Linked DNA regions of Macaca mulatta. The protein of the gene in region 1 binds, or shares a complex with, the protein of each later gene. Links are inferred from orthologs where the notes say so. Each region holds a gene or a part of one and is shown in the gene's direction. Other genes may lie near its edges.

The links.
Region 2: the proteins of SCTR (region 1) and SCT are in contact, whole or in part, in a cryo-EM structure (PDB 6WZG), measured with the Homo sapiens proteins. The link is inferred for Macaca mulatta from reciprocal best matches to the Homo sapiens genes SCTR and SCT. Residues at the interface, in NP_002971.2 of Homo sapiens: Arg30, Leu31, Cys32, Leu35, Asp71, Asn72, Pro117, Val125, Val127, Asn128, Asp129, Asn132, Arg135, His136, Leu139, Leu140, Leu142, Lys143, Tyr146, Tyr150, Arg188, Asn192, Lys195, Leu199, Phe200, Ser202, Asp203, Val205, Met219, Phe222; in NP_068739.1 of Homo sapiens: His28, Ser29, Asp30, Gly31, Thr32, Phe33, Thr34, Ser35, Glu36, Leu37, Ser38, Arg39, Leu40, Arg41, Glu42, Arg45, Leu46, Gln47, Arg48, Leu49, Leu50, Leu53, Val54.

What each region holds. Positions count from the first base shown.
Region 1 is NC_133417.1:17,983,916-17,990,910, forward strand, and holds the start of SCTR (secretin receptor), read left to right. Parts: upstream 1-2,881; 5' UTR 2,882-3,148; coding exon 3,149-3,220; intron 3,221-6,995.
Region 2 is NC_133419.1:519,332-525,044, reverse strand, and holds SCT (secretin), read left to right. Parts: upstream 1-2,732; 5' UTR 2,733-2,821; coding exon 2,822-2,892; intron 2,893-2,974; coding exon 2,975-3,076; intron 3,077-3,173; coding exon 3,174-3,266; intron 3,267-3,439; coding exon 3,440-3,551; 3' UTR 3,552-3,673; downstream 3,674-5,713. Other genes in the region: CDHR5 (cadherin-related family member 5), read left to right, coding at 5,069-5,153, 5,244-5,419, 5,690-5,713. UniProt on the Homo sapiens protein: Hormone involved in different processes, such as regulation of the pH of the duodenal content, food intake and water homeostasis.

The sequences.
Region 1 (6,995 bases):
GCACAGGAGTCTTTCAAAATACAAGAACTCAAAGAAATGGCCAGGGGGCGGACACTTTCATATACCATCTTGAAGTTACAGGAAGAATGGGGGCTTATGGTGTGTGGCAAAATAGGTTGGGGGGTGGTGGAGAAGAGGAGGCCTGGCTGGTAAAGCTGGGCTTGTTATGCAGATGAAACCTCACAGGTAGCAGGCCTGAGAGAGGACAAATGGTGCGTGTGTGTGTGTGTGTGTGTGTGTGTGTGTCTTTCAGACCGTTAAGGTGTCTAACTCTCAGTTAACCTTTCTTAGATCTGGACACGGGGAGGTTCCACAAAGACAGCCTGGCTGCATCAGTGCAGAGTTCTGTCTCCAGATGCAATCTCCCCAATAAAAGACAGCTTTGCAGGGCCGCTTCTGTTTGGAGGCCCTCCGAACAGTCATCTCAAAGTATGTCAAATAAGTATATTTTGGGGCAAAATATTTGGTTTCCTTCACGACACAGGCTTGGGCTCAGTCCTGGATTCAAATCCTGGCTTCTCCCCTTATTAGCTGTGCTGATAGAGGCAAGCATTTATCTTTCCTAAGCCTCAAGTTCCCATCTCTTATATGGTCTTGGAGGACTGGATATGATAACACACCCGAGCTTCCTAACAGACTCCCCAGCATACGATAGGTGGTAAATATATGGTTAGTTTCCCTACCTCTTCCCTTCTACCCCTATTGTGAAACTGTTGTTTCAGGCAGGTTTTAAGGACCTTTCAAGGGGCACTTCAATCCCTTTTCTCAACTCTCCGAGAGGCAGAGCTTCCCGTTTAAGCAAGAATGGCTTGCTACAGGCCAGAAATTTATTGAATTGCCCAGAACTAATGTTGTTTTGCTTTTTCATCAGATATCATGAGGCTCTGGTATAAAGCACGGATCGCATTTTTGTGTTGTTTTCTTTTTATTTATTTCAACCCCAAACAGCCATACACAGCATTGTTACAGAAAATATTCAAACAACACAGAAGTCTGTATAGTAAAAACTGCAAATCCTTACCTCACGCCCTTTGCGATGGACATTTAGGATGCTGAGGTTCAAGGAGCCTAGGAAATAACATTTTTCTTTCCAGCCTGAATCTTGAACCAATTGAGAAATAAGATCAAGACAGATGGGGCCAAATACCACTTTATAAAGTCAGTATTGCGGAATGTGGTTTGTACTTGTGGGCAAGCGGTTTCCTAACTAAACCCCAGAATTAGAGAGACCACCACCCTGTCACTGGTGGTACTGGACCTGTTCCACTAGAGCCTCGACCACCGATCACAGCCTGGCCCAGGGAAATCCAGTTACAGGTTCTCTGTAGCGGGGCACACTGTGAAAGGAAGGAGAGAGGAGGGGACCGAACTCATGCCAGTTCCTTATTCTGAATGCATCAGTCATGTAAACTGGTCTCACCTGTGTATACATGCATGCATGTGTCTGGGTGCGCGTGACAGAGAGGGATACAGACAGAGAGAGGGTGAAGGGGTAGAAACAAGTCAGGAGCATTATAGTAATGACTGCTGCCCATGAGAAAGAAAGAAATAAGGGTGGTTCCCTCTCCCCATATATCATCTCATTTCCTGCCACTGTCACAGTGCTTCCGCAAACATCCTTGCACATTTCATTAGGCCCTTGGGTGAGTATTTATGTAGAAAGAGTTTCTAGAAGGAAGTTGGTGATTATGTATACTTTAGGTTTGATGTGTACTGAGCATTGATTTTGGACCTAGAAGCTGAATGGATTTTCCTCCCTTTTATTTCTTCTGGGATTTACCAGCCTTGATTTATTAACAGTCTCTTCTGGTAGGGAAGGCTGCTAAGGACAAGAGCACATTGTTACTTTACTAGCTGCATGGCCGTCTGAGTAGAGGCCAGTTACAGAGAGTCAGGTCAGCCATGGAAGGGTAGATCCAGGCTTTCCTGTCTGAGCCTCTGAGTTGCAGTACCCAGACATGTAATGAAACCTCCTCCACCTTCAATGCCCTCCTCTGTCAAATGGGCATCATATCACCTAGGGGTTTGAGGGAGAATTAAATGAGCTGATGTACTTCAAGTGCCTGGGAGAAAGATAAAGAAAGGGGGAGAGAGAAGAGGGAAGGGAGTAGGCACCAGTGCAGACAAAGAAAACTTGAGTTTACAAGACCCATCTAGGGCTGGACTCAGTGGCTCATGCCTATAATCCCAGCACTTTGGGAGGCCGAGGTAAGAGGATCTCTTGAGCCCAAGAGTTCAAGACCAGCCTGAGCAACATGGTGAAACCCTCTTTTTTATGTGACAGTAAAAAAAAGGCCATCTGGGGCGCCTTGTACTCCAGGATAGGGAGCACCCTTGGAGTGGGCTACTGGGACTATCTGCCTGAGGCTTAAATAGCTTCCCAGGCGGTTCATCCTCAGGACAGTCCCCAGATGCCTGAGTATACCACAGATCTTCCTTGGTCATCATCAAAGGAGGAGCTCATCGGAGTGAAACTTCATGGAATGGGAGCTAATGACTTCAATAATTAAGAAAAAAATACAGAAAATCGGAAATAAAGTGCAAGTAGCTGTCTGGGGAGAATAGATGCAATGGGCCTTGACTGTGTCACAACTTTCAGTCTGAGAGTGGGTATTCTCAGATGTGTTGTTAGGGCTGAGAAAGCCGAGGCTTACAAAGGTGACCTAAGTTGCCCACCGACCCCCTAGCGAGCTTGCGCCTTCGGTCCGTGGACTCCAGAAACAGTGCTCTTTCTGGACCTGGGGTAGTGCGGGATTGCCGCGTGGTAGACTAAGCCAGCGTGCCCTCTCCTGGCCTCCTCCAGCTTGGGCCCAGACTGCGGGAGCCTACTCCGGCCCCCGCGCCCTCCCTCTGCCTCCTCCCCTGCTGGCCTCCGCGCCGGCCCCCAGCCAGTCCCCCGCCGGGTGGAGGAAGCGCGCCGGAGCCGCCGCGTCCTAATCAATGGGCTGGGCTGCTGAGCGCGCGCGGCCACCTGGTCCGAGGAGGAGCAGTCCCCGGGCCCGCCGCAGGTCGGGTGGCTCAGCCATGGCTCCTCTGGGCGCAGCGGCCGGCCGGAGCCCGGGATCGTGCGCGGGGCGCTGAACTCCCGAGTGGGCAAAGGGCACGGGCGGGTGGACGTCGGGGCGCCCTCGGGGAACGTGCGGGCACGATGCGTCCCCACCTGTCGCCGCCGCTGCAGCAGCTACTACTGCGGGTGCTGCTCGTCTGCGCCGCGCACTCGGTGAGTACTGCCCCCTTCTGAAGGCTAGGGGACCCAGGGAGCGACAGTCTCGCCGCTTCTCCGGCCTTGGCAGGATGCGGGTGGAGGGGACTAGCAGATCTTCCGCTGAGGAATGGGGACTCTTCCCTGTCAATCCTCCCAACATTAATCTCTCCCAGCTCTTCTCCGCAGGGACCCCTTCCCAAAGAAAAACCTTGTGCGCGCCACGCGAAGGCAGCTCCAAGATGAATCCCCGTGCCCCCCACCCACCCCTTCCTCTAGCCTGGCTTCTGAGACACTCCTAGACGGAAATTCTGGAGCCGCCCCGGGCAGTGCCTATTGTGTCCTGGGCGCTTTGCCTCCAATCTTTCCTTGAAACCTCTCAATCACCTTTCGAGGCTGCTATTACCATCCTCACTTTATAGACAAGGAAAGGAAATGAGAGGGGGAATAACAATTCTTGCTCCAAGTCAGAAGAAGAGGATTGCAACCCACATCAGTATCAGTCTGCCCCCAAACCTTGACATTTTCACACTCACGGGCTGCAGATGGGAAAACCTGAAGGGAGCTCCGGCAAGAGCTTCCGGGTCTGCGATGGGACCGTCTGCCACTCTCCCCACACCCTCTCGTGTGGGACGCGGCTCCCTAATGTCTGCGTGTCTGGTGGCTGCTGGGTGCTGCTGTTCCCCAAAGCCAGGTCCTGGCAAGCGGCTGGAGGAGGAAAATACTACTACTAATAATAATAGCGGCAGGATGGGTGGTTTGTTTTTCTTTCCTACAGAAATTCCTGGGAGTCTCCGGCCTCTCGGAGCTCTGGGATCTGTGATAAAGAGAGTGGCCCCACCCAGACCAGCAGAAAGGAAGGAATGGGGAGGGAGTGGGGGTTAGAGGTGGGGGCCAGATTCCAGAATCATCCCTTCCCACTAGCATTCCAAACTGGTCCCCAAGGTGTCTGTTCCAAGAAGCTCCTAGGGAAAGTGCTTGGGGACCCAGTTGAGTCTCTGATCTCTGTCCTGGGCAAGTCTCCTGGTGTCCAACCTCCTTGTCTTCCCGTAGTCCCCTCCGGTTGGATTATAAGGAAAATCAATGCTCCCAATGTTGACACTCAGGAGATGCTCATTTTTCTGGTAGCCCCAAGACTTTCAGCAGCAGTAGTTGGGATGAGTGCAATTTGGAGCTTGCTTGGAACTCCCTTTCCACGGTGGAGCCTCCTCTCTTCAGTGGCAGTGCTGGCCTTGGAAGATGCTAGAGCAACAGCATGCACTCATGAGTTTCGACTCCCAGTTTGGAGAAATGCCAACTGGGATACTGGGGACAGTGTCAAGCCAGGTAGAGCCTGGAGGTGTGTTATTCCGTGGCTAGGGGTAGGAGAGGCAATAGCTCCTTCCTTGGGACCCTCCCAGCCTCCTTCTTAAGTATTTGCAGTGACTCTGAGACTGTCATAACTGGTACCTCAAGTGCAGGACTGAGGTTCAGTCTGCATTCTTGTCTCAAGAAAATTCCTGGATTATCACAGGAATAAGTGGAAGGGGAAAATGAGAGGCTTCCCTTGGTTTAAGTCTTCAGTGTACCTTGGAAGGATGCTTCATTAGGCTCTGGCCCCAATCCCTTATTTTAAAAATGAGCACACTGAGACCCTCAGAGAGAAGGGAGCTGCCCGACATCAGCAAGTTAGTAGCAGAGCCAGGACTAGCAGCTCTACTAGCCCCACACACCCCACTTAACCCACTAAGGTTAGCACCCAGGTCTCTTGATTCCCAACCATCCAGGGCTCTGTCTGTTATGCCCCTTCTTTTTCCTTTTTTTCTTTTTCTTTCTTTCTTTCTTTTTTCTTTTCTTTTTTTTTTTTTTTTTGAGACGGAATTCATTCTTGTTGCCCAGGCTGGACTGCGATGGCGCGATCTCAGCTCACTGCAACCTCCGCATCCCAGGTTCAAGTGAGTCTCCTGCCTCAGTCTCCTGAGTAGCTGGGATTACAGGCATACACCACCATGCCTAGCTAGTTTTTTGTATTTTTAGTAGAGATGGGGTTTCTCCATGTTGGTCAGACTGGTCTCAAACTCCTGGCCTCAGGTGATCCGCCTGCCTCTGCCTCCCAAAGTGCTGGGATTAGAGGCATGAGCCATGGCACATTACTGTCTTACATAATCATAAGATGGTTTTCTGTGTATAAGTTGTGGCCCTTGGATTACTTTATGGCTTCTGTAGACCTTATATCTCACACTTCTTGGCTGAGAACGCCTGTAATAAATAGGAGTGAAACTGACCTACTTTGGTTGGAATATTTCCCAGCCTCTGGAGCCCTGCTTTCCTTCTGTTTGACTCTGGGTGGTCAGACATTTGATTCTGAAATCTAAGTGTGTTCAAATAATTTTTTATTCATTAGAAGCTCCCCCTCGAGGGGAATTATAGGCATCTTCCTAATGGAGGGAGGTCACTGAGGGCAAATTGCTTATTACCACTCTCCCTCTACTCCATATAGGGAGGCGTCAGAAGTGACCCTTGTAAGTGGAACCCAAAAAGTGGTGATGGCCAAATAGGGCAGTTTTCTGAGGCCTCCCATAAGAAATACTGAGCACACCCCCGCTCTGCGGCCCCACCCCCATGCATCTCATGAGAACTTTTTACCTGGAACATCACTGTAATTATTTACTAACACATCTGTCCCCCAAACCCTAATACACACACTTTAAACTTGAGCATGGATGGAGCCTCATCTTGTTCATCTTCTATCCCTGGAGTCTGTCACCAGTGTAAGAGGGAGCTCAGTGAGTGTGTGTTGAATGAATGCGTGGATGACTGAATGAAATGATGATGATCCAGCAACAAATAACGAAGAATCATTTCTTGAAAGGACTCTTTACTTGCTAAATTGTACAGAAATGTGTCGGGCCGTAGAAAAAGAGTCACTCAAGGTAGCGCTTTTTAATCCATGGCATTTGGCAAACTGCCCATTTGTTAACCTTAGTGAGTTAAGTGAGGTGTGTGGGGCTGGTTTTTCCTTCAAGCGGAGTTTCTTAACACTATTGACATTTGGAGCCAGATAATTCTCTATTGTGAGAACTGTCCTTGCATTGTACAATGTCTAGCAGCATCATGGACCGCTACCCTGTAGGAGCTCATGATCTCTCTAAAACCGTAACAACAGAAAATGTATCTGTAGACACTGCCAAATTTTTTCTGGGGATAGGGAGGGCAAAATTGCCCCTGCTTGAGAACCACTGCCTTAAAGGTTGTCATGTTTCAGGTCAGATATACAGATAGGACTAACAATAGGTATTCATTTCACATTGGGTTTGGGGCAGTGGGGTTGGTGATAGGGCATCTGAGTCAGAGAATGGAAACAGGTGTGCCTGATGAAAACCAGTCTCCAAACTGGACAAAGGACTTCTGCAGAGAATGGGTTCCTTGATCTATTCCACCCTCCCTTCCCTTCTTTCCCCCTCCTGTCTCCATCCCTCCTCAGTTGATGGCTAAGAAGTATAACAATTCCAAGTACGGGACCTGGCACATGGAAGCCTTCGGTACATGGTGGTCACTGCCCTGTCCTGTCATGCATCTGGACCCAGAGGCTGACAAGCCCTGTGGCTGCACAGTGAGCAGAACCTTAGAAAGGCCTGCAAGCATTGCCTGCAGAGCTGGTAATTGCCCTGTTACCCGGGCTGCAGTGCAATGGTGCAATTATGGTTCACTGCAGCCTTTAACTTCCTGACTCAAGTGATCTTCCCACCTCAGCCTCCCAAGTAGCTGGAACTACAGACACCTGCCACCATCCCCGTCTAATTATTTTTTTTTT
Region 2 (5,713 bases), on another chromosome or scaffold:
ACAATTCCGTGACTGTTTACAATGGCTGAAATGGTAAGTTTCATGTTTTGCGTATTTTCCTGCAATAAAAACAAAAACAAAAAACAAAAAACAAAAAAAAAACTCAGCAGTAGAGAACAATTTAAAAACAGGCAAGAGACGTGAAGATACATTTAACCCACGACAACGTGCAAATGGAAACAAGCACCTGGAAAGAGGTTCAGAATCACCCACCACTGGGGAAATGCAACTAAAACCACAAGGAGGTGTTGTGGCAGAGAGAATGGCTGAAGGTTAAAAATAGCAACTGCTGCAAGGTTGACAGTGTGCAGAGAAAGTGAGGCCACCAGGTGCAGTGGCTCACGCCTGTAATTCCCAGTGCTTTGGAAGGCTGAGGCAGGTGGATCACTTGAGGTCAGGAGTTTGAGACCAGCCTGGGCAACGTGGTGAAACCTTGTCTCTACTAAAAATATAAAAATTAGCCAGTCATGGTGGCAGGTGCCTGTAATCCCAGCTACTTGGAGGGCCGAGGCACGAGAATTGCTTGAAACCGGGAGGCAGAGGTTGCAGGTTGCAGTGAGCGGAGATGGCCCCACGGCACTCCAGCCTGGGTGACAGAATAAAACTCCATCTAAAAAAGAAAAGGAAGGAAGGGAGGGAGGGAGGGAGGGAGGAAGGAAGGAAAGAAGGAAAGAAGGAAGGAAGGAAGGAAGGAAGGAAGGAAGGACCCACGTGGCTGGCGGGGCTGTGATGCAAATGCTGGGGTAAATAGTGTGGCCGATTTAACAGATGGATACAGTGCATGGCTCGAAACCACAGCAGAACATCAAGGGCTTGACGGTCATTTCTCCGTCCTCTCCATGAGGTATAAATGGCTCACAGACACCCGAGAAGGTGCTGGTCATTAGGGAGACACAAATAAAAACCGCAGCCAGACACCACATTGCACCCACCAGCATCGTTAGTACACAACAAACAAAAAGCCAGAAAGTAGCAAGTGTCGGCGAGGACAAGAGCCGTGTCCCTGCTGTGCTGCTGGGGGACGTGTCCGTCTGAGATGCTGCTGTGGAAAACAGTTTGGCTGTTTTCCTCAGAACAATTAACACATCATTACTCTGTCACTCAGCAAGTCCCTCATAACTATACACCCAGAACGCTTGAAAACGGGATTGGGAAGGGCCCTTTGCACACCCGCGTTCACAGCAGCGTTATTCGCCCTCGCCCCAAAGGGGAGGCAGCCCAGGTGTCCATGAAGAGGCCCACAGATGAACGGACGCGGTCGACGCGGTCCCTGCACACAACGGGACACGGTTCCCCCTAAAGGGAAGGAGATTCCCACACAGGCCAGGCTGCGGCGGCGAAGGCGGAGGACGCTGAGCTGAGAAACCAGCCGGTCTCCAAAGGACAAATCCTGTGAGGCTCCCCCTGCGCGCAGTCCCTGCAGGCGCTGAATCCACAGACAGAAAGTGGACGCGGCGCCAGGCTGGGGAGGGGAGGGGGCGTTTGATGGGGACAGAGCTTCATTTTGGGAGGACGGGAGAGTCTGAGAACGGATTTTGGGAGGACAGGAGCGTCTGAGAAAGGATTTTGGGAGGACAAGGGAGCCTGAGAACGGATTTTGGGAGGATGGAAGAGCCTGAGAATGGATTTTGGGAGGATGGGGAGTCTGAGAATGATTTTGGGAGGATGGGAGAGTCTGAGAACGGATTTTGGGAGGATGGGGAGTCTGAGAACGGATTTTGGGAGGACAGGAGCGTCTGAGAAGGGATTTTGGGAGGACGAAAGAGCCTGAGAACGGATTTTGGGAGGATGAGGAGTCTGAGAACGGATTTTGGGAGGATGGGGAGTCTGAGAATGATTTTGGGAGGATGGGAGAGTCTGAGAACGGATTTTGGGAGGATGGGGAGTCTGAGAACGGATTTTGGGAGGACAGGAGCGTCTCAGAAGGGATTTTGGGAGGACGAGAGAGCCTGAGAACGGATTTTGGGAGGATGGGGAGTCTGAGAACGGATTTTGGGAGGATGGGGAGTCTGAGAATGATTTTGGGAGGATGGGAGAGTCTGAGAACGGATTTTGGGAGGACAGGAGCCTCTGAGAAGGGATTTTGGGAGGACGAGAGAGCCTGAGAACGGATTTTGGGAGGATGGGGAGTCTGAGAATGATTTTGGGAGGATGGGAGAGTCTGAGAACGGATTTTGGGAGGATGGGGAGTCTGAGAACGGATTTTGGGAGGACAGGAGCGTCTGAGAAGGGATTTTGGGAGGACGAGAGAGCCTGAGAACGGATTTTGGGAGGATGGGAGAGTCTGAGAACGGATGGTGGGGACGGATGCACGGAAATGTCAGCGAACCCAATGATCCTGAACCCTGCACTTCAAAGCGGATAAAATGGCAACACCGGCCCCCACAACAAAGTCACGCCGCTCAGGCCTTCCCGACGAACTCGCCCCAGCCGGGTGCTCCAGGGGCCTCCGGAGCTCCTGCCGCCGCCCCTTCCCCGGGGTCCTCCAGTCCCCCCAAATCCTCCCCCAAGTCCCACGGCCCCTCCGTCCCCGCGCCCCGCAGGCTCCGAGGCTTCGCGGTGCGGTTCCCTCTGGGGGTCCCGGGCCCGGGTCCCCTTCGCCCCCCAGGCCGGGACGTCCCCCTCCCCCAGCCGGCCGAGGGGCGCCAGCGCGGCGGAGGGGGCGGGAGGCCGGGCCGGGGCGACAGCTGGGGGGGCGGCCCTGACCTTCCCGGGATCGCTGGGCGCGGCCGGGCCGTCCCCCTTCCGGGCGCCGCCATAAAGGGGCCTCGCGGGGCTCTGGCCGTGGCCGCAGCGCTCAGCTCCCGCGCCCGACCCCGCCATGGCCCCCCGGCCCCTCCTGCTGCTGCTGCTGCTCCTCGGGGGCTCCGCCGCGCGCCCCGCGCCCCCCAGGTGAGCCGCCCGCCAGGCCCGTCCGCCCCCGGCCGCACCCGCCCCCCGCGCGGCCCTGACCCCGACCCCCGCCCGCCCCCAGGGCCCGGCGACACTCGGACGGGACGTTCACCAGCGAGCTCAGCCGCCTGCGGGAGGGCGCGCGGCTCCAGCGGCTGCTACAGGGCCTGGTGGGGAAGCGCAGGTGAGGCCGGGTGGGGCGGGGGTCTTGCCGTGGTGCCCTGGCAGCAACGCGCGACCCCCCACCTCCAGGACTAACTCTGTTTTGGGGCGGGGGACAGCGAGCAGGACGCAGAGAACAGCACGGCCTGGTCCAGGCTCAGCGCGGGTCTGCTCTGCCCGTCCGGGTCCGACACGCCCACCCTGCAGGCCTGGTGAGCGCCCGCCCCACCGCAGACCCCACCCCAGACCCCACCCCAGACCCTTCCTTCTGTCCGTGGCCTCCCTGGGTCAGCGCTGGTGGCCACCGGAGGCCCAATTCCAGCGGCGGGGCCGGGGTCTCCAGCCGCAGCCCCAGCCCCCAACCCCGCACGTGCTGTCTCTGCAGGATGCCCCTGGGCGGGGCCTGGTCTCCCTGGCTGCCCCCTGGGCCCAGGCCTGGGGTTATGGTTTCAGAACCTGCCGGTGCTGCTGCAGAAGGAACCCTGCGACCGAGATGAGGAAGGAACCCCCTCACCACCTGCCCAGCCTACGAGCGGAGCTGCATATGGGGTGGTGGGCAGGCTGGGGGGAGAGGGGGAGGGGTGGAACTCGGCACCAATAAAGGAGAATCAGATCCAGACACTGGGAGTTGGTTGTGTCCACTTGGTGTAATCGAGGCAACCCCTGTGTAGCAGGGCTGTCAGATGGAAGGGGGCCCCATCCACCCAGCCGGGACTGTGACCACACCCAGCTGCCCTTTACACCTGGCGGCCACAGCGGGCCCCTCATCCTTATCTCTGGCATCAGTGCCGCCTCCTGTACATCGACTAAGCACCGCAGGGCCCCGCCCCCCCCTTGTCTTCATTAGGAAACAGTCAAGGGCTCAGGGGAAGCCCGGACAGACTCTCAGCTCCTGCAGGGGGGTGGGGGGTGGCGTGTGGTCAGTGTTTCCGGAAGGGGCAGTGGGGAGGGTGTGGAGGGGCCAGGGAGGCTCAGGCGGGCAGGAAGAGGGGAGGGCAGAGGTGTCACCTGGGGTGCCAGGAGTCCACTCTGGCATGAGGACTCCGGACCCTCTGTCTTGTGTGGCCTCAGACCAGTGGCTTGACCCCTCAGAGCCTGTGGCGTATGGAGCGTGCAGGGCTTGCAGGCGACCATGAGGGTACAGTGCAGGGTTGGGACACTGAGCCCAGCCCCAGCCACGAGAGGCCAGAAGCTTCGGTGCACAGGCCTGGAGAGGAATGACTCCACTCCCCGCCTCACGACAGCCCCTTCCTCGCCCTGACCCCAGCCAGTGGCCTCTCCCTAGAGCTGGGGGCTTGCGGGGGCCAATGAAAAGAGCAGGGCAAGTGTCAAGACTCACCTCACCCCCTCTGTTGGGCACCAGGGCTCCCCAGGAGCTCCCAGCTGCCCCCCACAGCCCCGCCTTAGCCTTGGTCACTAAGGCCCTGTCCAGCCCCACCCTGAGAAGCTGGCTTGTCTCTGGGGCAGGCAGGCAGGGGTGTCCCTAGGACACAGTGAGGAGAGTCTCTTCCTGCAGAACCTGCCATCAGGCAGGCAGGGAGGTACTCCCGGGCGAACACCCAGGTTCTGAGCCTCAAGGGTTGGCCTTAGGAATTTTGCCTGAGGTAGAGCTTAGGGGAGGAGCCAAGCAAGGGCAGCCTGGGCTAGGGAGGCAGGTTTCAGACACCCCAACACCAACGGCTTCTCTCCAACACCCTAGCTCTGCCCCTGCCCTGCCCCAGCCCCATGGCGCCCGTGAGCCATTCTCTAGTCCTTTCTGCCCTGTGCCTCGGTGCCTGTGGCCTGAGCCCCCTGGTTAATCCCTGTACTCAGTCTAACTTGGGCCAAATGACTGCCCCCCTTCTGGCAGTGGGCCGGACCCGCCGGCCAGCGGGAGCCCCCTTGGCAGAGGCCGGTTGTAAAGGATCATAAAGTGGGCGGCGTCTGGCTGGGGCGAAGGTCGCTGAGGTAGGAACTGCGCCAGTCCTGGACGCCAAACCCACTCGGACCCTCCCGCCAGGTGACAGCCGCCAAGATGGGGTCTTGGGCCCTGCTGTGGCCTCCCCTGCTGCTCACGGGGCTGCTTGGCCGACCCCCGGGGACCGTGGCCCAGGTCCAGTGTACGTGCGGGCAGGGGTAGGTAGGTGGGGGCACAGGGCAGGGGGAGCCAGGGGCTGGGAGGCGCTGACCCCTCCTCTGCAACCTTACAGACTGCTCTGTGAACAAGTCCTTCTTTGAAGTCGAGGAGAACACAAATGTCACCGAGCCGCTGGTGGACATCCATGTCCCAGAGGGCCAGGAGGTGACCCTCGGACCCTTGTCCACCCCCTTCGCATTTCGGATCCAGGGAAACCAGCTGTTTCTCAACGTGTCTCCTGATTACGAGGTGTGGGCGGCAGGTGGGTGGGGAGTGGGGGCTCCCAGGAGAAGGGCGCCTGGATCCTCAGGCCACACCTTCCCCGGGGGGCCCAGGAGTTCTATGCCTGCAGGCATCCACTAACACCCATGCTTGGTGGTGCCTGCCCCAGAAGGCTGGGCCCACACCCTCAGCACTGACCACTGATGATGGGGACCCTGGGCCAGCGCCTGCCCCCTTGGCCTCAGTCTCACCACCTGTGGGGCGGGACAGTGACTGCAGACCCGTCTGCCTCCACAGGAGAACTCACTACTTGAGGCTCAG